3 linked regions of the Rhinolophus ferrumequinum genome follow. The protein of the gene in region 2 binds, or shares a complex with, the protein of the main gene of each other region. Links are inferred from orthologs where the notes say so. Each region holds a gene or a part of one and is shown on either strand. Other genes may lie near its edges. The genes, in order: RAB11A, RAB11FIP2 and RAB25.

Region 1 (10,063 bases), on a different chromosome or scaffold from region 2:
GTAAAAAAAAAAAGTTCATGGACTCAAACTTAGTTTCTAATAAAATAACTTCTCTCATTAAGATGACAAAATTTAATTGCTTTTTAAAAATGTGCCAAACTATATGATCACATCTATAGTTCAAGAAAGGAATTTGCGGTGACTTTGCTGTTTTCCATAACTATAGTTATTTTAGGTTAAAAGTACTTAAACATTTTATAACTACAGCCATCGATGTAATGTGTATACATACGTGCATGCGCAACAGCATCTACATATGAAACAGCTACAGCATTTCTAAAATAACCTGATAATATTTACGACCACTTGGTTAACGTCTGCTGAATTTTAAGTATCTCTAATACCTAATATGAAATTTGGTTCAATATATACCAAATATTAGACTCCTAAATGTCATAAAAACAGAATATACATATGAATTATCCATTATTTAATTAAAATTCCCACCTCTTTACCCTCATTTACTTTTATACACTCTCTCGCAAGCTAATACACCGGACTAAAATTTGATTCAACAAATCAATCATAGCACATCTGACCTACTACAAGTTATCACCTGAAGGAATAACTGATAATTTCCATACTATTTTAAATAAACAAACTTAGAAATATGTTTACTCTTTCAACTATATTCATAGTCCAATTTCACCAAAAGAATTGTTAAAATAAAATGCATTCAATAAGGCTTAAGTCTAGACATGTTTTTCCAGATTCAGCAGAATCTGAGTTGCTCAACCAACAGTTGTGAAAGAAAAAAACTAGCAAGATGCAAGACAGCAAAGTTCCTACGATCATTTCCACTGACAATCAGCTGACGGCTAATTACTACCGACCTTCAATGAGATTAAAAAGAAACTGGTATAGACAATATATCTGGATATTTTCGAAAATGTGACTTTGATTGTATTGGTGTCTACCACAGTATTTGTAAATAGGAACTATGATTGATGTTTGTTTCACATATGTGTCCCACAGGGCCTTAACCACACTGTTGGTAAATACTTGTAGAATTAAAGTACTTAAAAATAAAAAGTCAAGTTTCTTAAAATAAAATTAACTCCTACCTCCAAAGTCTCAATATTCAGCTTAACTAAAGGTTAATGTTCAAGAACAAATACATCATTTAGAATAACTGTCCTGCTCTCCCTATATTACATTTCCATTTGGACCACTCCATCTTATATGAATCAAAATATCCCTTCATTTTCAACTGGTTAGTTACGAACTACAAATTCCCTCAACTATTAACTTTGCTAGATAAGCCTTCTTCCAAATAGAGCTGCAGCTCATCTCAGTAAATAAATCTCTGTTGAATGAAATCATTTTAAAATAAAATTATTATTGCTTCATTTTTGTTTAATTTTAAATTATAATTCCATAAAGAAATTGGCTAAATAATCAGCCCTGAAGTAAAAAAAAAAAAAGAACAAAAAAGTGACACATCCTGTTAAGAGCTTTAAAAAAAGTGGAAGAAATCCTTCTCAGCAGAATTTTTAAACACCCTACCTTAAACAGGAAAATGTACAACAAAATGAAACCAATAACCCATGGAAATATAAAATACTTTAGAACTTCCTAGTTTTAAGTTTCTTATTATTTAATTGCTCTTATAAAGATTCATAGGTAAAAATAACTGACAAGAACCACAGTAACTTCTTTCACATTATTACCATTTATAGAGTATTCACAGAAGTTTAAAATTTTACAGCCAGTCTCATTTCATTCTCACAACAGTCCTGAGAGGTATGTCTTGTTTTCTTTTCATAGATGAGGGAACTGAGGCTCAAGAAAGTTAACTTTCTCAAGGTTACCAAGCAAATTTAAGACCTGAGTCAGGATTTGAATCCACGCCTGTGTGATTCCAAAGCCCTGTGCTCTCAATCATTGTTAGATAGTCTAAGCCCAAAATTAAGTTAAAATTCCTTAAGCCAATCCAGCATAACATTACTAGTGAAAAAATAAATGGCTTCTATAAGCAATATTTAAGCTCCCAACCAAACAGGAGAAATACTGATAGTCTCTTGTTCTAAATTAATTATTTCAAAGGCAGCTAGCGGCCCACTGCCACTGTACCTAAATAAAAAAAAAAAAAAAAAAAATTCTCCCTTTAATGGCTGAACCCCAGTCTCCAGGGTCTCACTTAAGTAACTTCACCAGACCTCAGATGACTTCAGCAAACAGTATGTAAACTAATGCACGTTTCTTTTTTGTATTTGTAAAATGCATTAAGTACCCTCTTCTCTGTAAATGACTTTCTCCCGGGGAAAGGGAGGATACTGAAGGTACTCACAACATATAATAGAATTTTCTGGCCCAGAGGAGTAAGTGGTGATAAGAATATGTCATCAGCTAGGTTGTCAAGATTTGCAAAGTATTGGTAAAGCAAAGAAATGTTACCGCCTTCGTTTAGTCATTCTGAGCACCCAATGGCAAAGTCAGAAACTGTCACCATGCTTAACACTCTTTTTAAACTCCACCCTCCACTGTAAAGCTTTAAAGCAATGGCTTCTTCCTCCCTGGTAATGATCTTTGTTCAGTACACCACTGATGGCTGCCCTCCTAATTCAGTAAGCAAAGAAAGAGCATCAGAGTGAGGGCGCATTCACCGAACAAAAAAGCTTTTAGTGTACTTTTTCTCAGGGAAAACTGTACCCCTTTATCTGTTGATTAAAAAAAACCAAAAACCACAAAAAACTATTTGGATTCTTTCCGGACTGCCCAATAAGCAATTCTTTCTATCCATTCCCCACCCTCTAACAGGTTTTACTCAAGGGCACTACGATTCTCTCTCATAAGAAACATTTGATTTCACCAAAGAGCACACAACCCCCGCCCCCAAACACACACACACCTTTTGAGAAAGGTATGGATCCAATTAGGACTCTTCCCTTCTGGTTCTACAAACACTAAAAGGCTGGACCCTCCCAGTATTGCTGCAGGAAGCAATCAGTCCAGAATGATAAAACGAGCTCGTATTTGTGCAGCGCACAGCCTTTCCTGCTCAGGAACTGGGCCTTCAGGTCTGGCAAGGATAACAGCCACCACCCATCCGCAACCCCTTCCCGCGAGCAGAGTCAGGAGTTACCCCGGGCCGGTGGCGCCGGGTAGGGAGGGTAGGAGAAAAAAAGGTTAGGAGGGAAATCACATCACTCTGCCGGGTCACTGCGACAAGTGCGTGCGTGGGTCACTGACAATCCCTCTGGCCCTACTCCCCACCCGTGGGGTCGCACGGGAGATGTGGGAGAGCTCTAAACTACTTGGGGAGGGAAGGCAGAGAAAGAGCTACCAATCCCCGGGACAGAACTGTGGGACGGGTGGGGGCCCCTGGCCCGCTCAGATTTTCACGAGGGCCTAGCCCCGGGGTGGAAGAAGATGGCCAGGAGAGCCGCGGGTCCGAGGGGACGGGGGGAGATAAGACCTGTAGTGGGAGTCTGCGCCGAAGGCAAGATGAGGAGCCAAGGAAGGGCTGGTCAGAGCGGTTCAGGAAGGGGAGTGAGTCCAGCAGGGTGGACACTGAGGGGGAGGGGGCGCCAAATCGGAATGATACATGGTGGGAGGGGTGACCCCTTTGAAGCGGCCCTAGAATCCCGGAAAGGAAGACGATGTGGGAGATGGGAGCCAGCCGAGAGAAGGACACACGGTGAGGGGCTATGAGGCCAGCGAAGGCCTTTGGGGAGGTCCCTCAAAGATCGGTGTGTGGCGGCGACTCCCTGTCTGAGGGGAGGAAAAGGGGCTGAGCCGCGAGACCGCGGAACAAACTGCACCGAGAGGGAAGGGCTAAGGAAGGCCGATTTCACACGGGGGTAGCCCCCGCGCGGGTCTCCCGGGAGTGTCTCGGGCCCCCGAACAAGACTCGGTGGAGAGGAGGGGAGCCCATGACCTCACCTTTGAAGAGGTAGTCGTACTCGTCGTCGCGGGTGCCCATTGCGCGGCCGAGGAGCGAAGGGGCGGGAGCAGCAGTGGTATCGGTGGGACTAGGGGGCGTCGCTGCAGGGGTAACCCGAGCGCGGATCTTCAGCTGCCTGACCGGGTGAAGAACCCCTCCCTGCTGCTACGCCACTTCCGGCGGGCCCCAGCCCCTTAGGGGAAGTGCTTCCGGGGGTGGGGGTGCCCTGCCCCTGAGCCTGCGAAGGGCGGTGTGCGCGGAAACGGCGTCCGTTTTCAAATTCTTACCTCCTCCCAAAGGTTCAGAGGACAATCTGAGGCTTTGCACTCCAAGCTGATCATAGTCCTAACAGCAGCTCACCACACTCTTGGTGGCCTCTCCCTCATTCCTCCGGCCGCCATCCCGGGGCTCTGAGGAGAGCGTCAACCCCGGCTCCAAATGGTCGGTTTGTGAATGGGGGCGGGGTTCACTAAGAATTAGAGAGCCCAAGGCGGCCCGCACACGTGTGGTGGTTCCATGGTGTAATGGTTAGCACTCTGGACTCTGAATCCAGCGATCCGAGTTCAAATCTCGGTGGAACCTATACCCTTCTCTTTTTTTCTCCCTGGCCAACGTTTTTCATTTTTCTGCTTAGTTGCTAAGTGATTGTTATACAACTATGGTATATATCGCCTTGAACTCAGCGGAGAGGGAATTTCACAAAATTTAACCTTTGCCTAGGAAGACCTCACAAATTTCCCCCTTCAATTCTGTACTTTCTGTTACCTGGGTGTCTCCTAAGGAGCCTCTTCACTTCTCCCCTTTTTTAACCTGGGTCCTCTGCCTCAAACCTAATTGAAAAGCTTCGATTAAACTTGATTCCTTTTGCTAGAATTTTCAACCTCCGATATCATGCAAGGGCAGGCGCTTTTCACTCACTCCTGTTCTCGGAAATCTCCAGATGCCATTCAGATAATTTCGCCCACCCGCCTCATCAAGATTCATCAAGAACTTCTTAAACCCCATTTGTCAACCTCTAAAGCAAACTCGTTTACATAATTATTTCATTTAACACGCAGAGCAAAGGATGGCAATTTTCATTTTAGCGGAAATGTGGATACTGAGACAAGTGATTTGCCCAAGATCATAGCAGCAGGGCCTCCCTGGATTTAAAGAGAGTTTTATTCCAAAAAGTTTTTCCTATTGCTTTGCCACACCCCCATCTCCTATATGCATACCTCAATTTACACTTGAGCAGGGGTGCCTGTTACAAGCAGAATGATGGCTCCCTAAAGATGTCCACTTCCCAATCCCTGGAAACTGTGACTATGTTCAGTTACATGGCAAATGGAAATTAATGTTGCAAATCAACTGATTTTAAAATAGGGAGATTATGCTGATTCTCCAGGTGGGCCTAATGTTGTCATAAGTGTCCTTAAAAGTGGAAAAGGGAGGCAGAGGAGGTCAGAGTGATGGCAGTGTGAAGGGACTTCTAAAAAAGAACATAAACAGAGTTCATGTTCAAAATGGTGTCCAAGCTGCAATCCCAGAGGAACTACCTTGCACACCTTACGCAAACCTTTGTGATGTTAAAACTGGGCAAAATAACCTTTGGACTGGACCTAAAGCAGCATTGTATTCCAAAAGAACTGTTTGCAAAACTAACAGGAAGCAGATATGATCACAGGACTGAAAATGAAGGATATTCTTTAGAATTAGCATCATCAGTATGTTAACTTATCTGTACATATATTCCTTCCTAAGGAAATTCCTTCCTTAGCTTAACACCCATAGAAATTCCTTCCTTCTATTCATGTAATGATTCCCCTTTCCTTTCTCATAAATACTCCTTGCTTTCATTTCCTAATCAGAACACTATTTGGGTTTCTCTTTCTGAACCAGTGTTTCCCAAATAGTTATTGTTTTGGATCTCAAATAAAGGCTTGTTGCCTCTCACTTTGCCCTTTTTTTTAGGTTAACAACTTTGTAAAAAAAAAAAAAAAAAAAAGAGGAGGAGGAAGAAGAAACAACAGGCAAAAGTGAGTGGAGTCACTTTTGCTAAGCCATGTCAACAAACCAAAACTTAACAAATATGCTAATTGCAGTTTCAGCCTCTCCCAGGCATAGATTTCTAAAAAGATTTTAATTAAAATATAGCTAGCATGCACTATTATATTAGTTTCAGGTATACACCAGAGTTATTCAAACCGGGAGTAGAATTTTTAACCAATCTGTCTGGCAGTCTGGAATTTCCTCATCAATACTGTGAGGTAATCTGCTTGATAAAAAAAAACGCCTGCCACTTCCTACCCAGAAGAATGTGACCTGGCCTAAAAATAATCCTTTCTTTTCTTGTGCTAATAACACCCCTGCCATACCTTTCTGCCTATAAAAGTCTTCCCATTTTATACAACCCAGTGGGACGCCTTTCTAGTTGCGAGATAAGATGCTGTCTGATTCATGAATTGCTTAATAAGGACAATTAGCTCTTCAAATTTACACCATGGAGTTTTGTTCTTTAACAGCCTCAGCCAGCCCTTGTGGCCTTGAACATGGAATAGAAGGGGGCCAGGAGCCTAGGAATGCAGAGGTTTCTAAAAGATGGAAAAGACAAGGAAATGGATTTTTCCCTAAGGGCCCCAGAGGGAACACCACCCTTGATTTTAGCTCAGTGTCACCAAGTGTGTGGTAATTTGTTACAGCAGCAATAGAAAACTAATACAGTACCATTGTCAGTGCTTTCTGTGACAGGATACAGCAATAGGTTTATCTAAGGCCTAGATACTGCCTGTGTAGGGGTGAACATTATCCACATTGGGGAAGAAGCACAGTATTCAAGCAGCCAAATATTATGTGTACTACAGATTATTTATAAGACACATTCGTGGCCCTACTCTGGTGGATACACTAGATGGGCTCAAGAAAAGGGGAGGAAATCAATAACGAGAGTTCTGGTGATACGCGCCACAGTTCAAAGAAACTGAGATAATTCGGAAGAACTCCCTGGAGGAGGAGAAACTAGCATTGACCCCTGAAGGAAGAAGCAGGGAAAGAAACTCATTTTGGGAAGTGAAGGAATTTAGATAAAAACAAGTTGAGCAAAGCCATTGATGCCAGAAGAATAATTACGAACTTTTCCCCTTAAGTCACAGTTTCTCAATGTTCTGTCAATAGTGTTCCTCAAAAGAAGGATTGCATGGTCAAATAAATTGAGAAATACACAGTCTCTCCCTGCCGCCTTAGAAGTTCCCTTAACACATTGGCATTTTAAACACTAGCTATTTCACTCTGAAGAAATCTTTTTTTAAACTGTTGAACACAACATTTACCAAATTCACCAGAATTCTCTTCCCATGGAACACCTGTTAGCACCAGGTTTGGGAAAGCCATCAAATGTTTGTGGACAGGGTTGATTGAAGTAAACCCGGTCTTCGGAAAAGTAAGCTGGCTGTGAGCTGCAGGAAAACGGTAAAGAAAGACTGAAAGTATGAGTATTAGTTAGAAAGCTATTAGAATTAACCAGGCCCAAACTAATAGAAATAGGGTATAGCTATGGGAATAGAGAAGAAAAAGAAAAGTCAAAGGCTGTTGTGGAAAAAATGGTGAGTGGATTCCAAGGACAAAAAAGAAAATTAGGGTTTTACTTTCTTGGGTTTTTTTGGGAGAAGGGGTAGGAATTGCTAGATGTCTTTTTTTAACCTCTCAAGAAATATAAGAATTTAATGTAAATGATTAATACCAAATTATAGAGTAAATCCTTCAATTCCTTCTCCACGTCCATTCCTATTCCAACCCCAGAGATAAAACTGCTTTCTTTAAATAATATAATCATGCTCCAACCACATAACTATGTTTGGGTCAACAACAGACCGTAAGATTAGACTGTATAGCCTAGGTGTGTAGTAAGCTATACCATCTAGGTTTCTGTAAGTGCACTCTGCACAACAACAAAATCGCCTCATGATGCACTGAGCATAAAATTAGGTTATGTGAACTGTTCTTCATCTTGAAAAATCTTTCCACATTCGTCCATGCTGAGTTATTTGCTGCATAGTTTTCCTTAGCAAGCATGTACCATAGTTTGTCTAACCATTCTCATTCCCTTACCTGTGGATATGGTAAATACTAAGGGTTCACTAAATAAAAACCTATTCCTAAGTCATTTCTTCCTTGCCCACTTCCCCATTAGAGGCTGGAAAAGCCAAATGTTCATTTTCCCAGCTATGCTGAAATATTTCACATACAAATATAAAAATACACTAGCAATATTTTTAATTTTTGCCCCAGGTTTGCCCAATAATTCCCACTTCTCTGATACCTAGTGAGTATAAACTTTTTCTCTTATGTTTATTAGCCATTTATATTTCCTCTGAATTGCCTGTCAATATCCTTGTTCATTTTCTTGTTGGATTATGTATCTTATTGACGTGAATCTTATTGACGTGGATCTCTTCATATTCTTACCTTTTAATCCTTTCCTGGTTATAGCATAAATATTTTCTCCAACTCTATCACCTGATTTTTAAATTTTATTAATGATGCTTTTTTTCTGTACTGAAGTTTTAAATTTTTATTTAATCAAATTTCAGTCGTTTCTTTTTTCTTTTTATAATTTTTTTTTCAATTACAGTTGACATACAATATTATATCATTTTCAGGTGTACAGCATAGTGATTAGACATTTATATAATTTATGAAGTGATCACCCCAATAAATCTAGTACCCATCTGACACCATACATAGGCATTACAATATTATTGACTATATTCCTTAGGTTATACCCTACATCCCCATGACTATTTTGTAACTACCAATTTGTACTTCTTAATCCCTTCAACCTTTTCACCCATCCCCCTAACTCCCCTCCTACCTAGCAACCATCAAAATGTTCTCTGTATCTGTGAGTTTCTGTTTTGTTATTTTGTTCTTTAGATTCCACATGTAAATGAGATCATATGGCATTTGTCTTTTTCTGTCTGACTTACTCCAGTCAGCACAGTACCCTCTGGGTCCATCCATGTTGCAGATGGCAAATTTCATTCTTTTTTATGGCTGAGTAATATTCCATTGTATATATGTACCACCTCCTCTTCATTCATCCATCGACAGACTCCCAGGTTGTCTCCACATGTTGGCTATTGTAAATAATGCTGCAATGAACATATGGATGCACATGTCCTTTCGAAGTAGTGTTTTGGGTTTCTTCCAATAAATAACCAGAAGTAGTCTTACTGGGTCCTTCTTTGTCTCTAGTTATAGCTTTTGTTTTAAAGTCTGTTTTGTCTGGTATAAGTATTGCTACCCCAACTTTTTTATTTTTTTCATTTTCATGAAATATTATCTTTTTCCATCCCTTTACTTTTAGTCTATGTGTGTCTTTTGATCTGAAGTAAGTTTCTTGTAGACAGCATATATATGTAGGGGTCTTGTTTTCTTATCCATTCAGCCACAGTATCTCTCTTTTTCTCAATTTCAGGTGTAAAAAACAACATAGTGATTAAACATTTATACACATGTTAAACATTTAAACACAAAGTGATAACCCCAATAAGTTTATTACCCATTTAATACTGTGCATAGTTATTACAATATTATTGACTATATTCCCTATACTGCATTTTACATCCCTGTGACTACAATTATCAATCCCTTCACTTTTAATCCCTTCACCTTTCTCACCCAGCCCCTCAAACACTCTCCCATCTAGTAACCATCAGTTTGTTCTCTGTATCTATGAGTCTGTTTCTGTTTAGTTTGTCCATTTATTTTGTTCTTAATATGGTCATATGGTATTTGTCTTCCTCAGTCTGACTTATTTCACTTTCCGTAATACCCTCTAGGTCATTCATTTTGTCACAAAGGGTAAGATTTCATTCTTTTTATGGCAGAGTAATATTCCACAGTATATACATGTACCACATCTTCTTTATCCAATTGTCAGTTGATGGGCATTTTGTATGTTTCCATATCTTGGCTATTGTAAATAGTGCTGCAGTGAACATAGAGGTGCATGTATCTTTTCAAATTAGTGTTTTGAATTTCTTTGGATAAATACCCAGGAGTGGAATTGCTGAGTCATAAGGTAATTCTATTTTTAATTTTTTGAGATACCTCCATACCGTTTTCCATAGTAGCTGCACCAATTTGCAATCCTACCAACAATGTACAAGGGTTCCCTTTTCTGCACATTCTCGCCAA
Region 2 (9,713 bases):
ACTTTGAGAATTCTGGAGGTGGAAGGGTCCTCAGGGGCACAAAAAGAGTATAACTTGTCAGGTCCACAACTGCTTAGTTGCAGAGCCAGGCAGGATTAGCAATCAGGCCTTCTGATGCTCAGGCCCATGGGTTTTCCACGCTATCATTTACAAACTCCCAATAATTTCATTGTCAGTTGTCAAAAAGAGGCATGATTACCAAAAAAACCCAAAAAATAAAAAAATAAAAATTTATCTGCACATGTGCATAGGAGACCTGTATGGGTATCTCTGCAGCATTGTTTATGATGGTGAAAAACTGGAAACAACTTAAACGTCCTTTGGAAGGAGAAAAAAGATCAAATGGGGCTTATTCATCTGACCCAATACCGTCTGACAGTTAAAGTAAATCAATTCACGGTCCATGCATTGTTAATCTGTGTTGATTTTGTTGAAGAAACAAAAATTGCATGACATAATACTATGATACCGTAAAGAGGAAATTAAAAGACATCCACACAAAATATTCTTCTGTGCAAAATGTATTCTGCTACATAAATTCTTACCTTCCTCAACATGTCTTCATAGTTTGAAAAAGCTACAAAGAATATGAATCAAAGTTATGTTTATTACTACAAGTGAAAAGTTTGAAGCTTTTCAAAACCTCTTGCACCTATTTGTAATTTCTTCCTAATCTTGAGCTGTTAGGGTCAATTTCCTCACACAAGGCCTGTTAATAAAAGATATATTTACTTCCTTTCCGTAATGATCATTTTCATTTGGGAGAAAGAGCTCTCAGGACATTCTTGAGGATTTTTTTCTCCTGAATTAGAGAAGCCTTCATTAATAAGTTACATAAAAAAGGAATCTGCTTTAATATATTGACCAAATTCAATTACATAATTATAATGCAATTTGCTTTTTTGTGTTGTGGATATACTACTTAGAATTATTAAATGTTAGAGAATGCTTTAGTGGTTCCTATTAGAGACTCTTATTTTACAGATGAAGAAACAGAGTTCCAAAGAAGGAAAATTACTTCCCTAAAGATATGTAGCTAGTAATAATAGACAGACTTGGGATTAAGTCCCAGGCTGCTGACTGAAGCTCTTTATAGTATGACATACCACACTGTTCATGCATTACAAACTGTGTCCATACACTGCCCAGTCCCAGAAGACAAATGCATCAGCCCAGTGATAAAAACAGAACAATTACCAAAACTCCCCGAATACTACTTTATTACAATTACAGTTTTAAATCCATTTGCCAAATAGTTTTTTACTTTTTAGCTGGTTATGTGGAGATTAATCTGGGTTCTCTGAAGTTTTGCCATATATATGTGTACAAATTTTATATATATTTGAGTTGTATATATATTTGATGTGTGTGTGTGTGTTTGTGTGTGTCTAAAGTATGAAGATTGTAATGGAACTTTGGAAACTCCAACTGGAAAATAATTAATATCTGATCCATATCGTATGTGGGTGCATTATAACTACTCTTGACCCAGTGGGTTATTTAAACACTAAGAGCTTTATAATTGTCCTACAATAGATTTGCAAGTGGCAATTTTAGAGCTGCTGATGCTCAAAGGGAAATATTATTTCATAGTGCTTGGAATAAGTCTCCTATGGGACTTTACTGAAAGGTGCAGTGCTTAATAAATATTTTCATCTGTGTAGTCCTACACCATTGGAGACTAAATATTGACTATTTTACCTTCTGGTCAAATTGTTCTTATTCATTACATCAGTCACTGTAACAGTTTCAAATTAGAAATTTCAGCATTTTCCTCCTTTAAGATGTATTATTTCTCCAAGCTCTCGAATTTAGAATTATACTAAACATTTGGAAAATGTCATTAGTCTTAGAATAAAAAAAGTGTCTTTGATTCTGATTTGTTGTCCTTAAGTATGCAATCCTTCTTCCGTTTTTAGATTACTGTCCACGTATATCTTAAAATTAGTAAGAAGAATTTTTAAAACTGTACGACAATAAACATTTTTGCAGAACCACTTTGATCCCAGATCTTATGTAATTGCCATGATTTTTCACTGTGAGCGAACCATATATGTGACCCAACTGATATATTTTTACTCTCTTAATTGGATTAAAAAAGAAAAAAACACTTCTTATAGGAAATCACTTCACTTTCACAATGCAATTGTGAAGTCTATGTAGCTCATTTTATCTTTTTTTTTGTTTATATGCTTGCTTTGGGCAAAAATATGCTATTTTCTTATTCTGGCTTACAAACATTAAGTCATAACTCCTGATCTTGCCAAATAGTAAAATTAAAAAAATTTGGCTCTAACCAGGTTTTGGGAAAACTCAAATGAAATTTAGATGCTACAGGAAGAGATGTTAATAATTTCAGTTGTTTAGCTCCTGCCTTAAGAGTATTCCCCGAATTTTGTTGGAGTATGTTATTGCATTGTTGTGAACTAGCCCTGCCAACTTCCATCCCCGAGATGGCTGTATTTCAGAGGTGAGTGAAATGATACTTGTAAACAAGTTTATAATCATTAATAAAGCTTGCCAAACAATTTGAGCTCTTTAGAAACACACATTCACTATTATAATTAATTACCCATGTTTATGTAATTACAATCTTTAATAGAGACATGAAGACTTTTAAAAATGCAATTTATAAAAATTTGCAACATAACTAAATTTGTTTTCATGATGCTTATTTTGTTTTTACAAGTTTTAAGTATCAAATGTTTTGTCTCTGGGGATCCTGGTTGAAATTCCACCAGTGGCTATTCTAAAGCACCCTTTAAAAATTAATAGTTCCTAAAGAATATTTTTCTTTAAAGTTGACAACTGCCCACTCTGGGATCCAGATGCTATATTCACAGCAGAGTGATTTTTCTCTGTTTCCCACACATGGCCTTTTCATACAATGTCTCTCGAAGATAAAAATTTCTGCCTCTTTTATAGTAAAATTCCAGTAGAATGACCTAAAACTGGGTCTTTTCATTCTGGATGGTATCTAGCTCAGGATTATTCAAGATTCATCTGTAGTTTGCTTCCTTGAAGATCTTGGTGGTAAATTAATCTAGTCTCTTTTGAAGTGCCCACTTCATGCAGAACTCACACAAGCCACTGTGTGTAAGCAGCATTAAAAAGTTGGAGTTCCCAATAAGTAAAAGGAAATCTGTAGACACTAACAAGTGTCAGTGGGTCCTTCAAAGAATGTGCTGGAATCTGGGTGGTCTTTGAGGTTTGTGGTGTTATCCTTTGGAGTCAAGAAAAGTATCTTCCTTCTATAAGATTAAAATAATGGATAATGTTATCCTCTTTGCTCCCCTCAACCCCTGCCCAAGGTTTTTCAACTCTATGGTTGCTTTTTTGACACAAATATACTGGGCCCATTCAATATACCTCCATTCAAAAATATTTAAAGAAAAGACTCTTAGTTTTTAAGTGCTACTGCTATTATCCTGTAAACATTAAAAAACATGGAGAACATAATGTCCTCCTCAAATGGAAAAGTTTTACACCTTGCCTGAAAATAATAATCATAATACCTTACACTTTTATCGCCATTTTAAATTGGAAAAGTGTATGCACATTTATCATATTGTTTTACTCTCAAAATTAGTTCTGTAAAGGGAGAAAAGACATTAAGTCAGTCAATAAATTGTGTGCCTACTGCACGCTGGGCACTGTGAAGTGATGATCCCTACGGCAGTCCAAAGAATTTAGAATTTCCTTGAGAAAATAAAATATGAACAGAAATAAAAACAATAAAGGTGGTATGTAAGTCTTATAATTGAGAAATGGGCAAAGGGAGACACTGCTAGGAAATGTACATTCTCATAATACGCCTCCCAACTCTCTAATAGGTACTCTATCTACAGTTTATGGACAAGGGAACGGTGGTTCCCAGAATCTAAATTCCTTGCCTCCGGAGGCTAAGCGCCCATCGCAAGCTATGTACTGAATTTCTGGCAGAGCTGAGGCATCAAGCAAGGCTCCCGACTCATCAGCCGCTATGCATGTTTCCCACTAGATCAGGCTAGTGCGGAAAAAGCACAGTATTAACATCTCCCCATTTTCTTCTCTTAACAAAGCCCCTTTCATTCCAAGGGGTCCATCAGGCCTTGCCCTCAGGAGCAAGTAAGTCTGTGCTTTTGGTGAAGGAGGCTGTTTTTCTTAGTTGGTGATGACCAGAATGATCTCTGGGTTTGGCTTCCGCGTTGGACAGTCTTCCAGACTGCAATACCCCAAAGGTTCCTTTTGACGTGGAGTCCATAGAGTTGTGATGGGTCTTAAACAAGTTTTCTTACCCGTGATGAAACTGAGGCTCAGGGAAGGAAAATGACTTGACCAAGGTCATACAGACTAATGGTGGCAGACATGGGGTTAGATACAGATCTTAGGACTCCAGCCCAGTGCCTCCTGCCATCTTTATTAATTCTTGTTACTGTCGGAATCTTTTATCTGCTTCCCTCTCTTTCTTGGGTTTGTGTGTGGTGTGATTCCAGTCAATTAACAGCCTTCTCTTTTATCAAAAGGAAAAGAGTTGAGGGAAACTGTGTTTTCGGTCAATGAAGGGGACTGATTCACTCGACCACCATTTCTCGAAAGCCTGCTTTGTGCCAGGCACTGGGCATCCAGGGTACAGCAAAGTCGGCTTCCAAAGACTGAAATCGGGTCTTTCCCCAGATTGGCCAGGCCCCGGGTCTTAACTGACACCTCTCAGGAGCGGTCCCCAGCCCCCCTCGTATTCGCCCCCTTCCTCCTACTGCCGGCGGGTTTAGGCCCCACCGTCCCCGGACCCCGGGCTGTGCCAGGCCGGAGCAGCCAACGCCAACTGCCCGGAACACCCCGCCGTAGGCCTGGAGCTCGCGTCGCGCGCCCCCGGTCGCCACAGCAACCAGGGAGGCGCTGACCCCTAACCCCCGCGGCCCCGCCCGGCCCCGCCCCGTCGCGTTCCCGAGATCAACATGGAGAAAAGCAACCCGGAAGTGCCGCCGCCGCCACCGCCCGCCCGGTGCTAGGAGCTGCGGGCCGGGCGAGGCCGAGCCAGGTGCCCGCCGCCCGGCAGCCCGCGGCCTGCTGGCGCCAGAGCGGCCGGCTTCCCTGCCCCACGTCCCACTCCACCCCCAGGCGACCCGCCCCCGCCCCCGCCCCCGCCCGAGAGGCGGAGCTGAGGCAAGAGGGAGGAGGAGGAGGAGGAGGAGGAGGAGGGAGAGGTTTGCGAGAGCGAGCGAGGCCGCGCGAGCCGCCGGCGGTTCGTATTACCGGGGTCGGGAGGAGGAGCCCAGGCCAGGCCCCGCGGGCTAGCGTGAGGCGGGCGGGAGGCACGGAGGCGGCGAGGGCGGCCCGGCCGAGAGGAGGCGGGCGGGGGGCCGGGGGCTGCGAATTGGGGCGAGCGAGCTGTAGCCTGCAGGGAGGGGGCGCCCTGCCACCTCCGCAGCCCTCCGCCCGAGCCCTGGCGGCCAGGCCTGAGCGGCCGGTAGGCCGGGGAGCCGCCCGCCGCCGCCGAGGGCTTGTCCCGAGGGCCGGCGGAGCGTGAAGGTGCGGACGCGAGGCGGGGGTCCGCGCAGGGGCCGAGACGGCGCGGCCAGGTGATGGTGGGCCCCTGTGCTGCTCCTGAGGAAAGGGGCCCACCCCAGGGCAGCCATGTCCCCGAGCTGCCCCGTTGAGGCGCTTTGACATCAGCCACGGGGAAGCTGGGCAGCTGTCAGTTTGCCTGGCTCTGTTAAGTGCCCTTAGGATGCAGTGATTCGGCTTTAGGCTCTCCCTGCCGGAGGGGCGCTGCCTGCGCTTGGGAACTCGGGGCAGAGAAAAAGGACAGAATGATGCTGTCCGAGCAAGCCCAAAAGTGGTTTCCAACCCACGTGCAGGTCACAGTGCTTCAAGCCAAAGATCTTAAGCCAAAAGGCAAAAGTGGCACCAATGACACATACACCATAATTCAGCTGGGCAAGGAAAAGTACTCCACCTCTGTCGCTGAGAAAACCCTTGAGCCAGTCTGGAAGGAGGAGGCCTCCTTCGAGCTACCTGGATTGCTCATGCAGGGGAATCCAGAGAAATACATTCTTTTCCTGATAGTTATGCACAGGTCCCTGGTGGGTCTGGATAAGTTTTTAGGGCAGGTGGCAATCAATCTCAATGACATCTTTGAGGACAAACAAAGAAGGAAAACAGAGTAAGTTGTATAATTTATTTTGAATTTGGGGGAGTCTAACGATATCTTCTCTATGGATTTTCTGTTCTTGGAAGTTTTTTGTATACCTGGGGCGTTGGTTTTTGGACTGAAATATGACCCAGTTTTAAGCACCATCATTTGCGTGAATCGGAAGTAAAAATAGCCCTTGTGAAGAAATATTTTTTAAATGGAGTCATTAATAATTCCTTACTCTCAGTGGTTTGAGGTAATCATCTTATGTAATTGAATATTTTGCACGGGATTTTAAGTAAATTAACATCGTTTTCTACTTATATGAGGATTGGATCACAGTGTTGACCAACTAAAACGTGTGTAATTTCTTATGATCTTTAAACATTACAGTTTTCCAGGAGATGAAATAGCAGAAAACTAAGTCTGCCAATATAATCCGTGTGTGTGTGTGTTTGTGTGTGTGTGTGTGTAACTCTGAAGCTCTCAAAAAATAGTCAAATTTAGAACTCAGTATTTCCTTTTAGCATCATAAACACAGTTGGCCTTTATTTGAGCTCAACCATTTTTCAGGGTCAGTACATCTTGATGGAGTCTAAAGCTGTTCAAAGAAAAAAGTTTTAAAAGTATGAACAGACATCCTCACCTTGAACACACTAACATTTTCCTTTGAATTTACAATATATTGGAGCTGGTGTATTACTTCAGAATTAGTTCTGTATAGCCAGTGTGTTTAGACCACATTAAATGCTGTCATATTGAAACAGTGATTAAACTCTTGTGATGAAATGATTTAATGATGTCTTCAAGGAAAACATGACCTTTTTATTATGACTTTCAAGTTTCGTATAGATATATTCTAATTTAATAAAGCCATAATATAACTTAACACTAAGATATTATGTCTTAAGTTGAAAAATAGTATATTTTCAGAGATAGGTGTATTCACCCTTTCTTTAAACTTATAATATGTTTCTAGTCTGAGAGAACATAATTTTAATTGATGGAATTAATAAGAGAAAAAAATATAGGTGGAATTTATAAGAGGAATTCAAATTTCCAGAATAACTTTGGTGTTTCTTTCGGTCATAACTGAAATTTATTTACCCCTTTAGAAACTTTTCTATAATGATAACTTTCTTGAAGTTTATGTTGATTTCTTGTATTTTAAAACAACCATTTCTTGTTCTTTTCTATTCATATCTGTCTTCCTGCAAGTTTCTCTTGATTGGAGTTTTTATTTTTATTTTAAAAAGGTTTTGAATCAGATCTTTACCTAAGGTTTAATATGTGTAGGGTAAAAGGGTAGAGAGAGACATACCAGGGATGGTAGATGAACAATGGTAAATACTGAGACTAGTTAAAGAGGTGAAAATATTTTAAGAAAAAAGGAGAGAAAAAAGTTTTAAAAAGTGTAAAGTTGACTATATATCAATGATTTTTATAAAACTGTTTGATAACTACAAACTAGCTTTCAGTTTCCTCTGAGGAGTTCATCAGAATTAAATTGAAAAGTGGATAATTATCAAATAATTTGTTTCAAATTACCAATTTTGGATGGCACTATATAATATTCTAAGTACTTTGAATGTACACTTGTAAGTACACTGTAACTTCAAATTTCATACTGCATTTACAGTACTTTCCATGTTAATGAAGGATGTATTATAGGCCTTCTCTGAAATGTAAATTTTCCAAGTAAAAGTAGGCCTACCTGTGAACCCAGAGATTCTGAGGATGAAATAAGATTTTCAAGTTTCTTCTTCCTTTACTCCTTATCTTCAGCAGCATCACAATTACAATACATTTAGCTGTAAACAATAATACTGTAGTCTCCTTGTGGAAATTCTCTATTGGCTACTATATAAAATTGCGTAGAACGTTTGGGGAGGGAAATGCTTTAAAATGTTATCAACAGGGCTGCGAGGTTATTGCATGCAAAGTGATTTTCATATGTTATTAAATCCCTCACGTTTTCTTTCTTTGTGGATAAATGGGGACCACATATTTGATGAGATATCTTTATTGCTAATATTTCTGGTTTTTTAATATATTTAATAGTTTCCTTTTCCAGCACAGCTGTACATGTGGCACAGCAAGACACAGATTTGAGCCACCGGTGTATTGCAAGAAAGATATTTAATATTCTGCACATGGCTGAACCTTGTCAGCAGATTCCCAAGTGCTTTTTAGAAAACTCAAGTGAGTGATGAAGGTTACCAGCTGATTTAGAAGTCCCATGAAACTGCTGGGTGTGACACTTTTTACTCTTGACACTGAAGACAAGTATTTACAGCTTGTCTTCCAGTTGTGTCATGATAGGAGAAGTGTGACAGCTAAAACTATTACTTATTTTTATACCTTAACATTAAATGACTTTTTTTTTCTTTTCTTTTAAGGAGAAGGGAAAAAGGGTTCTGAGCCTGAATCCTTTGAGTGGGGCATAGAAAGAGAACTTCTGTATCTCCCACTTTAATGGGTGTCTGGGTTGGTTCTGGCACGAGATTTAAGGAAATAATACGTTTAATAATAGAATGGTAAAATTGTTCATGCTGCTATGTAATATCTATTTGATTTTTTTTTTATAACAGAAGTGGGTGATGTTGATTTTTTTTTTTTTAAATACTCATGAAAAGTAATAACAATCAGAGTCCCTAGAGTTAGGTATGACTCAAACACATGCAGATTTTAGGACTTTTGTGTGCTCCTCTGCAGTGCACCTGCGTCCTGGCCTCTGGCACCCTTACTGCCAATCTTGTCCTATTTCTGACCACACAGCACCAATTGCTTGGGAATAGTTCCCACATGTGTGGTGGTTTTTGAACATGGACCTGTGCCCACTAAAAATTGAACAGAGGCCATACACAGTTTAAAACCAACACTCAAGGGGTGAAAAAAATCAGCATTAATCCACTAAGTCCCAAATGCTGTGTCTTCATGTTATCTTTTTGAAGCCTGGGAAAACACTTCTTATCTCTGGGATGCTTTTTGAAGGTCTCAATAAGACTTCCTTGTTATATCATTTTCAAAATAAAGCAGCGAAGGTTATTTGTCATGCCTATATGTTAAATTAGTATATTTGTTGAAGTTCTTCACAAGTTTTTTTTTTGGTGGGGGCAGAATGGAAAATATTGTATTTACATTTACAGATTGTATTCAAACCCTGACTTGCTTCATTCTTTCAAGCTCAATCTTTAGTGTTCCCTACCAAAAAAACAAAACAATGCAGTGTGCGTGCACGGTATATTACAGCGTGGTTGTTTTAAGAATGCAGTTCTAGAAATAATAATTCAATAAACATTTATCTAGTGCAAGGCAAACTAACTTTATGTAGCTTATACTCTAGCAATAGAAATGTGCATCGTCTTCCTCTTTGGCTGTCATGTCTCCTGATAAATACAGTGTTATTTATGTAATATATGATCAGCTATGCGATTAATCTTATTGACATATATGGTTCATCAGATATGAAAGGACTTCTGTTTTTGTGCCGATGTTATTCATCAACTTTGGACATTTTCTTTATTGACTTTAATCTGACATTGGGAAGTTACTTATTCTCTGCTTCAATTTCCTCATCTATGAAATAAGGAGGTTA
Region 3 (9,383 bases), on a different chromosome or scaffold from region 2:
CTCTTCGCGGACCCCTCCTCCGCGCTCCCCCCGACGACCGTAGTACCTCCTTGACCGAGGCTCGATCGCAGATCACAATTTCCTCCTTGTCCTTGGGGGTCTTGACGGTGACCCGAATGGGGGGCCTCGTCTCAGCCCCGCTCGGCTCCGCCATGCCGCCGCCGCCACCCGGCCGCCCGCCAGCCCGCTCCGGCTCCTCCTCCTCCCCGCCCGCCCCGCCGGCCCGGCTAGGCTCCGGCGCCTCCAACACTCCCCTCTCCTCCCCTCCCCTCCCCAAGGCTTCACCGCCCCCTCCGGACCAGCCGCAGCCACAGCGCCCCGGGCGGACTGGGGGGGCCACTGCAGCAGTGTCCGCCCAGGGCCGAGCCTGGGGTCCCGCAGCCTGGTCTGGGCCTCGCTGGGCGGCGGCCCCTGGGGCGCTCGGGACGGGGGCGGGGCGAGTCCCTCACTGCTGGGGTGAGGGGCGAGCGCCCCACGGGAGACCACAGCCCATCCGAGCGGGCCAGAGCTGAGCCGAGGTCCCCTCCGACCCAAAACAGCTCCTGCCCCCACCACGGGTCACTCCCGCTGCGGGACAAAGGACTCTGTGTCGCCGCTTTATCTCCGTCCCCTGCGATAGCTGGTCTTTTATTGAGAAGCCCAAATCCTTCTCGGGCCTGGGGCCTCTGCCGACTGGTAGGATGAATTTTCCCACTTCTGGACGTCCACCTAAAATCTCATCTCTAGAATTGATTTCATTCCCCCGAGGATCGTGGCCTGAATGAACTCTATTAGGTACTGTTCCAGCGACCTGGGTTTTGCCTGCATGGCCTTCCCGAGCCTTAGTTTCCTCAATAGTATCTATGGCTTCATCACCCAGAATTGTGCATAATGTAGAAAATTGCTTTGAAAAGCAACCAAAGGTGTGCCTAACAAACACAGGGATTTTATTTTTTTATTTTTTTAATTACTGAGTCGTGGATTGTCAAGCGGACATGACTTTTCTCTCCCCGAGGGGGTTAAATGTCCTTCCAATACCGCCAATGTCCTTTCACTCCCGCTCTTTTCCCCCACAACCGCGTGGTCTCAGTGGAAAGGCGAACTATCGTTCCCAGGATGCCTCACGAGGCCTCAAGGAACTACAATTCCCAGTGCCCTCCGCGGTAAAGCGGGGTTGAGTCAAAACTACAAAACCAGGCGGAGAAACTACAACTCCCAGGGCGTTCCGGAGCAGGTCAGCTGAACTACCGGAAAGGGCTGGCGGAGGCCCGCAGGAGGCAGTTCGGAGGTCTGGGTGCAAAAACCCAGGTTTGGGAGCTGCAGGCATGCTACGTCCCAAGGCTTTGACCCAGGTGCTGAGCCAAGCCAACACTGGAGGTGTCCAGAGCACCCTGTGAGTGCGGACCGAGGACCCGAGCGACGAGCACTGGAGTCGGGCAGCGCGCGGCTCTCCGAGGGAGGGGTGGGGAAACATCTCCGGGAAGGGAGGAGGCAGAGTGGGCAGCCGCCTTGGAGGGCCCCTCTCGAAAGGGGAAAGCGACGGCCTGGGTGCTCTGGGCACCTTCTAGGACACACTCAACCTAGACCCTTGCTTTCTAGAAGCGCCAGTGGCGGGAGCTGGGATGGGAACCCAGGACTCTTACTCCCCATCCTGAGCACGTCGCTGCCCCTTCCGGTTCCTCGCCAGGCTGCTGAATAACGAGGGATCTCTGCTGGCTTACTCTGGTTACGGGGATACTGACGCCCGGGTTACCGCCGCCATCGCCAGTAACATCTGGGCCGCCTACGACCGGAACGGGAACCAAGCGTTTAATGAAGACAATCTCAAATTCATCCTCATGGACTGCATGGTATGGAGTGGGAAGCCACTTCCTCTGTCCCCCAAAGGGATCCCCGGGGCGACCTGGACCCGGTCCCGGATGGTTGGAGGGGCAGGATCTCGGGAAGATTGCTAAGAGTTGGCCCGCAGCACCATTTATCATAGGCAGAACCCTGTGCATCACAGTGGTGAGGAAGGGGCCCTGGACCCCGGGTCTGCCTGGGGTTCTGGTCTCAGCCAGCCACTTACCGTCTGTGGAACCTTGGGTAAGTTACTTAACCTCTCTGAGCTTCCTTATCTCCTCTCTGAGGTGGAAACAATAAACCCCGGTCCCCACCTCAAGGGGCTGTGGTGAAGATCAACTAACAGAGTGGATGTAAACTGTAGAGTGAGGTACACACAAAGTGCTGTCATGCCAGAGTCACTGACTCACAGGCCTATAAGAGTCTCCAGACCCTTGTCTAATCCCTTGAGGAAGGAAAAAATATGTAAGTTAAAAAAATAGTATGTTAGATTTCTAAAAACGCTATGGAGAAAAATAAAGCAAGGAATTGAGATAAGGGTGGCATGCGCCAGGGATAATCTCACTGAACAGGTGACATTTCATCACAGATTTGAAAGAAGTTGGCAAGCCATGTGGCTGTCTGGGGCATAAACATTTCTGATGGAGAGAACAGCAAGTGCAAAGGCCCTGAGGCAGAAAGGTGCCTGGTCACAGATCGACAAGGGAGATGTGGCTGGAGTGGCATGAGAATGGGGGGAGGATGATAGATGATGCCAGACAGGCAGTACATGGTTCCTAGCACACACTGGATACCTAGTGAAAGTTTGCTGAACCGAATTGAGAAGGCCGCAAGAATGAAGGGTTTCCACTGTACTCAGCTACCTACCACTTCCTGGCCCCCATTCCAGCCAAGGATGCATTCCAGTTCAGCCGATGACTCCTGGGTGCCCAGCTCAGACCTAGTGCTATAGGGCAATAGCTTTCAAACATTTGACCACAGCCCAGCTGTAAGAAACACATTTGATGCTGGAGCCCCGTGCAAACAATCACTCGCTCAAACAAGTTCCCTGACTACATGCAATGCATTTCTCTTCATTTCTCTTCTTTTCCTTCCTTTTTTCTTTCGATGCTAATCAACCTTCTTAATTAATCTCCTAACCCGGACGTCGGGTGTGCAGTTTGAAACACATTGCCATTGGAAAAGAGAACTAGGAGTGGGGTTTCTGCTCTCAAGCCTCTTATAGTGTCTTGGAGGTGAACCCATAATAATAACATAGCCCATTAGAAGAGCCCGGAATTCCTTCCCGTGTGCTAGTACCCTCAGCAACTGGGATGAGGTAGGGGTTACAGAAAGAGAACCGAGTTTCTGGGAGATTGAGTTTTCTGGGGTGACTTGGTTCGTGGCTGTGCTGAGGCTGGAATCTGGGCACAGGACCCCATGTCCAGGGCTGTGGCCAAAGCCCCCAGCTGAAGCTCCAACCCTGCCCGGGGCGTGGAAGGAAGATACAGTCTGTCTCACGAGGAGCCCGTGGGGAAAGGGGGCTTAGGGTGCCAAGCAGGGCCTCCCATCCCACGATGTCACCCCCACCAGGAGGGCCGTGTGGCCATCACGCGAGTGGCCAACCTACTGCTGTGTATGTATGCCAAGGAGACCGTCGGCTTCGGGATGCTCAAGGCCAAGGTATGTGTGCTCGTTGCTCCGCCACCTGGGCCCGGCCCCTGTGCTCCGTCAGGGTCCACTCCCGTCCCCACCGCCTTCCTGGGTCCTCATGTCACCCAGTCCCTGTCCACTGGGGCTGGGGGCTGGGTGCTCGGTATGGGGAGTCGACCTGGATTTGGGGTCCCTTTCGTGGCAGGCCACATGTGGGACGCTTTTCCTCCCCCTCCCGCAGGCCCAAGCCTTGGTGCAGTACCTGGAAGAACCTCTTACCCAGGTAGCAGCGTCGTAAGGGGCACTGGTGGAAGCTGGGGTCAGGCAAGAGAGATGACCATTGGAGGGGCAGGGCCCCCTGGGGAATCCTTCCTGGTGTGTGGGGGGAGGGGAGGGACTTTGTTTTTTCCAAGAATAAATTTCAGTCCTGTCTTACGTCTTGGTTGCTTTCTTGGCTGGGAGGAGTCAGGGGATGGAAAGGAGCAGGACTGGCTTACGGGTTCTTCATGTCCTGCGCCCCCACCAGAATCTCCAGTGGAGTGGCCTCACCTGGCCCTCGCCACTCAGAGTCTCACCCACCTGGTTGGCAAAACCTTGGAAGTGAGCTCCGAGGAACGGGGCCAGTGGGCGTCATGTTGAACAAAGAGAATATAGAGCCAGGGAGTGCAGTGTCCGTAGGTCCCGACTTTGGCGGGGTTGCCTTTCCTACTCTTGGGGTTGGGAGGGGGCCACCCCTTTCCTCTCCAAGGCCTTCACATTCTGACGCGCAGCTCCAGGTCTCGAAGCCCTCTGCAGACACCATTGCTTTCCGGTGAGGCCTCAGGTCCTGGGCAGGGATCTGGAGAAACCAGAAGACCTCTCAGGCCTTCGTGTCCTCACCCTGGCCCTACGCTTGCACCCCTCACCCCACCTGGCTGTTTCTGTCCAGGTCTCCTCCTACCTGTGTCCTTAGAGCAGGTGTGGGCGGGAAGCTACCAGCCCCTTTCCCAGTGCTATAGAAAGGGACCCATCGCAGGGAAGCCTATAGGTAGCAAGTTCCAGCTCCACCCAGTATGAGAAATGCTGCCCCTCCCAGGCCCAGAGCTGTCTGGGAGGGGCAGGAATTGCCGGGCCTAAGATGCAACTCCCAGAGCTCTGCGCACAGATAGGTGACTGCCACCCCATCAGCCTCTCCCCTGGGGCCCCCACCAGAGGCTCTAAAGGAAAAGCAGGAGGCCAAGCCAGCTTCTGCTCCTTGAGGGGCCTTGTCACTTACTGGCGGCTGGGCCCCCCTGGGCTGCAGGTGCTAGGAGCCTAGCGCCAGGCACTCGGTCCTCAGCTGTCTCTCGGAAGGTCCCGTCTGCCCCAGCTTCCCCACTACCACCCCCTGGAGCCTGCTCACCTCATTGCGGGAGCCTAGGCGGAGAGCAGACACCCAACCTGTCTAACCTGTCTGACGTCACCGTCTCCACCCACCTGGGCCCCAGGTCTCCAGTGCCCTGCTCTTCCTGTTCTCAGCTTCCGTCCTCTCAGCTTCCTTACAGCACCCCTACCTGCCAGAGCGGAGCGTCCCCAGGCCTTGCCTGGCCTGACACAGGCCCTCAGTCCCTCTGGCCGGCCGGAAATTCTTTTACCCCCAATGAGAGGAGGGGTGGACCCAGGTCTCTTAAGAGCTGAAGGTTGAAGGTGCTGAGCCAACGCGGAGACAGTCACCTGTGCCCCGAAGACACTTGTACCCTCTTATGTGGAGCCGAGATGGGGAACGGGACCGAGGAAGATTATAACTTTGTCTTCAAGGGTGAGTTGGGGTTCGGAAAGAGGAGGCCTGAGAAACCCAGAAAGAGACCAACAGAGCCAGAGGCAAAGCCTCCTATTTTGTTTGGTTTTAATCTCTAACCAGGAATCCACCCTCTTGCCCCCGCCCCCCCACCCCCTGGGCTCATCATTTGGATAAGAAAGAAAGCTGCAGGGAGCTGGGAAGGTCTGGTGTCTGGGGCGGCCCGAATGCTCTACTGTGTCAATAATGTGTTCCTCGGTCCCTAAGAGTGCCAGTGAGGCTCCTCTGCCCGTTCCTAATGCCACATCCCTAGGAATAGTCAGCCACTGCAGCAGAAGGGGCGGAGGTCAGACTTCAGAGAGGACTTCCCTCAGGCAGACTTATGGGGAAGAAAGTCATTTTTCTGGGCAGATATACAGAAAAGGGGACAAAGGAGGGTCCCGCTCTGTCTGTCATGGGGCTAGGTGGAGATATAGGGAAGATGTTGTGCATTGAGCAGGGGCTAACAGGACTCTGAGGGCTCCTGGGGCCGTGGCCTCCTCGGTCTGTCCCTTGGCATGTAAAGCCAGGCACTGGGTTCAGCGTGGCTGTCCCTGAAAGTGTGCACGTGTCTTTCCTGCTCTTTATCTCAGCCCGTGTTTGTGTCCCGTCCTCCTGTTCCCCTCCCCCGTTGTTCGCCACCCCCACCTCCTCACCCCCTTCAGGGCAGGGTGGGCTGGCGGGGCTGTGGTTCCCTGTCCAGCCACCCCACCCCACTGCCTCTCCCAGCCTCAGCCCCGCCCTCACTTGGGACTCAGGCAACTTGAGGTTGGGGAACCTGTACTCCCAGCATCTTTCCCAGGAAGGGAGACAGGGTAAAGGTTAGCAATAGTCTGGGACGATCACACTGCTACCGTGTTTCCCCGAAAGTAAGACCTAGCGGGACAATCAGCTCTAATGTGTCTTTTGGAGCAAACGTTAATATAAGACCCGGTCTTATTTTACTGTAAGACCGGGTCTTGTAATAATGTAATATAATTAATATAATGCAATGTAATATAATGTATAATAATATAATGCAATAAATATAGTATAACACCAGGTTTTATATCAATGTTTGCTCCAAAAGATACAGTAGAAGTGATTGTCCAGCTAGGTCTTATTTTTGGGGAAACACAGGAGTAACTACTGTTTATTGAACCCTTACTGTGTGCTAGCCGCTGGCTCGTTAATCACCACAACAGCCCCCAAAGTTCTCTTTCATTTTGAAAGCGTAATGGTCAGGAGGCAGACTGCCTTCCGATTTCAGCCCTGCCGCTTAATACCTACTGCAGGTTGCGGGGTCTCCAGAAGTTTAGGATGCAAGATGCTTATTATGGACCAACACCAGTGAAAGGAAGGGAGAGGGAACAGGATTGGGCAGAGAGGGAAGTGAAAACGCAAGACAGGGTCACCAAGCCTTAGCCAATGGGCCGGGAGCCCCGTAATACCTTTGCCTTGCTGGGGCCCTGGATGCAGGCTGCCCAGGGCGCGTGACCTCGGGTGAGGCAGCTGTCTGCCCCACGCAGGAGGAGGCAGCTGCTGGAGGAGCGGAGCGGGCAGCTGGAGGCTGCCTGCTGACTGCACTCCCTGGGCTGGGGCAAGTCCTTCCTGGAGGACACATCTGGGCAGCACACCTGTGTTTTTACGCACTAGCTATGTTATCTTGCTCAAGTCATTTAACCCCCCAAGCGCCTCCTTCCTTTGTCTGTAAAAAATGCAACGGTGGAACTAATGGCACTTGCCTGTGGCACTGTTGTGAGGATGAAGTGACTTCATATGTGGAAAGCCTCTGAGATAAATGTTAAGAATTAGATCTCCATTTCACAGACGCAGATGAGAGACAGGGTATGTAGCTTACAAAAGGTCACAAGGCATCACAAGCCCTGGTCTGTCTGACACCAAAGGCCCGAGCCTCTGGAGCCTGAGGACAAGGCTAGGCCTCCACCCCCCAGCAGGGTGAGTGGGGATGAGCTTCCCTGCAGGGGAGAGGCAGGAACACACACACACACACACACACACACACACACACACACACACACACACACACACAGCCATACTGTTCCCAGCTCTTTCCTGCCTTACACAAATGAGAAATGCCTTAAGCTGGAGGCGGGTGCATTTCTAGGTTTTATAAACAAGGAAACAAACCCAGAAAAGGTGAGCCACTTGCTCAAGGTCACATAGCTAGTCAGAGGCTGAGAGGGAACCAGTCCCTGGGCACCAGCATGCCTTTCCAGAACCACCCCGATGACTGACTTCCTCTCGTCCTGCTGCTCAGCTCAGTACCGGGCAGTGTGTTGGTCATGCTTACGTCAGCCGCCACTGGACCCCAGCGGCTCCCTGCCCCTGAAAACCTGAGGGTAACCGCACTGACCCACCAACCACAGTCATGGCAGTAACGGTTTTGCACACTCACCACATCCTGGCAATGTCTCATTTACTTCTTGCAACAACCCACAAGACAGGTACTAGTGTTATTCCCGTTTTTCGGATGAAAAAGGTCAGAGAGGTTAAATAACTTGCTGAGGGACACACACAGCCCCAGAGTCTTCACCTTGCAAGACGGACCCTGCTAGGGGACAACTGGATCATAGCTTCTTACACATTCACCTCCGGACGTGCCATGTGCCAAACTTTCTCCTCACCCACATTCCTAGTCACACCTCTGCTCCTGTGCAAACACACACCCCAGCCTCTCACTTATCCTCCCAGCTCATGTACAGAGAAACAAGCACAACAACGTGTCCCCTAGCCGGGAATGTGCACCCTCCCCCAGGCCTGCCATCCCTGTGCAGTCACAGCCCTGCTAACGTCCCCATGTAACACCCACGAGCAGGCCCCAGACATCATTCAGCCCGGACCCAGGCTGACTGCAGCCTTGTCTCAATGGACGGGCCTGGGAACTTGAAAGCACCAGACCCTTAGCTGCGTCCAGCTCCCAGCCCTTCTGCCTCGATGGACTCAGCAAGCCCAGCGGTCAGGAGCCTCAGCTCCCTCCTCGGTCTTCTGAACTCAGCTCCCCTTTGCTGGTGGGCAGACCCCGGGGCTCAGGAAGGCTTGGGCCCTCTGCCCACTCAGCCCTTCTCTCTCCATTCCTTCAGTGGTGCTGATCGGAGAGTCTGGCGTGGGCAAGACCAACCTGCTGTCCCGCTTCACGCGCAATGAGTTCAGCCACGACAGCCGCACCACCATCGGGGTGGAGTTCTCCACGCGCACTGTCATGTTGGGTACCGCCGCCATCAAGGCTCAGATCTGGGACACGGCTGGCCTGGAGCGGTACCGAGCCATCACCTCGGCGTGAGCCCCGGGCTGGGGGTGCTGGGGAGGTCAGGGGACACCTCCAGAGGACAGGTGGGGCACAGGAAGCAGGGCACACAGCCATGTGCACCCTGCAGGGACCGCAGGTCGCCACAGCCCTGGCTGAGGACACACCAGTACTGTGAGCCACACAGAGTCTGAGGCCCGGTCTAGTGATCCTGACCACTGGGACCCAAAAGAGTCATTGCCACCACAGCCTCTGCTGTGTGCCCAGAAAGGCGCAGGTGCCTCACACTGGGCATTTTGTGCCATCCTCTGGGTACCATGGCCGTGAGGGGCTGCCGTCACGAGGCCCAAGCCCGTGAATCCAGGTGGGGCTGGGATGGGGCAGGTCCAGGGGCTGAGAGCACCCTCACAAAGCACTGCAACCCTCACGGTCTAACCACCAAGGTGAAGGGCTGGACCCCTCTGCTGCATTTTACAAAGACTCAGAGGACACCACAGGAGAGTGTCTCCCAGCCAGTGTCAGGCCACATGTGAGAAGGGGGTCTGTGTGTGTGTGGTGGGGGCAGCGCCTGCCAGGGGCTCTTAAGGGGTCGCTCACCTGACCTCTACGAGCCTCAGTGGACTGAGTCTTCAGTAAAACGGGAGCACTTAGATGTCACCATCAGAAGAAGCTCCCGCTGGCTCGAGGACCCGGGCTAGGTGCTTGTGAGGACATGTCCAGTCAGGGCTACTGCTCGGGGGCAGTGTTTAGCTGGCCCTAGAAGGATGGCCACAGGAGCAGACGGGCCTGTGGGTCGGGCAGCCACGTGAGGCAGACCTTGGAGGTGGAGCATCCAGGAGCCCAGGTCCGTGCTGGTGGATGGCAGGGGCTAAGATCAGAGCCAAGGAC

Evidence for each region.
Region 1: the proteins of RAB11FIP2 (region 2) and RAB11A are in contact, whole or in part, in a crystal structure (PDB 2GZD), measured with the Homo sapiens proteins. The link is inferred for Rhinolophus ferrumequinum from reciprocal best matches to the Homo sapiens genes RAB11FIP2 and RAB11A. Residues at the interface, in NP_055719.1 of Homo sapiens: Glu478, Ile481, Asp482, Asn483, Leu485, Val486, Met489, Glu490, Pro493, Ser494, Leu496, Arg497, Val498; in NP_004654.1 of Homo sapiens: Arg33, Ile44, Gly45, Val46, Glu47, Phe48, Ala49, Thr50, Lys61, Trp65, Arg72, Arg74, Ala75, Ile76, Ala79, Tyr80, Arg82.
Region 3: the proteins of RAB11FIP2 (region 2) and RAB25 are in contact, whole or in part, in a crystal structure (PDB 3TSO), measured with the Homo sapiens proteins. The link is inferred for Rhinolophus ferrumequinum from reciprocal best matches to the Homo sapiens genes RAB11FIP2 and RAB25. Residues at the interface, in NP_055719.1 of Homo sapiens: Arg475, Glu478, Ile481, Asp482, Asn483, Leu485, Val486, Met489, Pro493, Ser494, Leu496, Arg497, Val498, Pro499; in NP_065120.2 of Homo sapiens: Arg34, Ile45, Gly46, Val47, Glu48, Phe49, Ser50, Thr51, Lys62, Trp66, Arg73, Arg75, Ala76, Ile77, Ala80, Tyr81.

What each region holds. Positions count from the first base shown.
Region 1 is NC_046289.1:45,039,937-45,049,999, forward strand, and holds the start of RAB11A (ras-related protein Rab-11A), read right to left. Parts: upstream 4,078-10,063; 5' UTR 3,926-4,077; coding exon 3,886-3,925; intron 1-3,885. UniProt on the Homo sapiens protein: The small GTPases Rab are key regulators of intracellular membrane trafficking, from the formation of transport vesicles to their fusion with membranes.
Region 2 is NC_046299.1:10,943,503-10,953,215, forward strand, and holds the start of RAB11FIP2 (rab11 family-interacting protein 2), read left to right. Parts: upstream 1-5,433; 5' UTR 5,434-5,792; coding exon 5,793-6,145; intron 6,146-9,713. UniProt on the Homo sapiens protein: A Rab11 effector binding preferentially phosphatidylinositol 3,4,5-trisphosphate (PtdInsP3) and phosphatidic acid (PA) and acting in the regulation of the transport of vesicles from the endosomal recycling compartment (ERC) to the plasma membrane.
Region 3 is NC_046305.1:673,010-682,392, forward strand, and holds the start of RAB25 (ras-related protein Rab-25), read left to right. Parts: upstream 1-4,933; 5' UTR 4,934-5,187; coding exon 5,188-5,230; intron 5,231-8,331; coding exon 8,332-8,527; intron 8,528-9,383. Other genes in the region: UBQLN4 (ubiquilin-4), read right to left, coding at 47-154; ragulator complex protein LAMTOR2, read left to right, coding at 1,305-1,372, 1,667-1,829, 3,394-3,483, 3,695-3,751. UniProt on the Homo sapiens protein: The small GTPases Rab are key regulators of intracellular membrane trafficking, from the formation of transport vesicles to their fusion with membranes.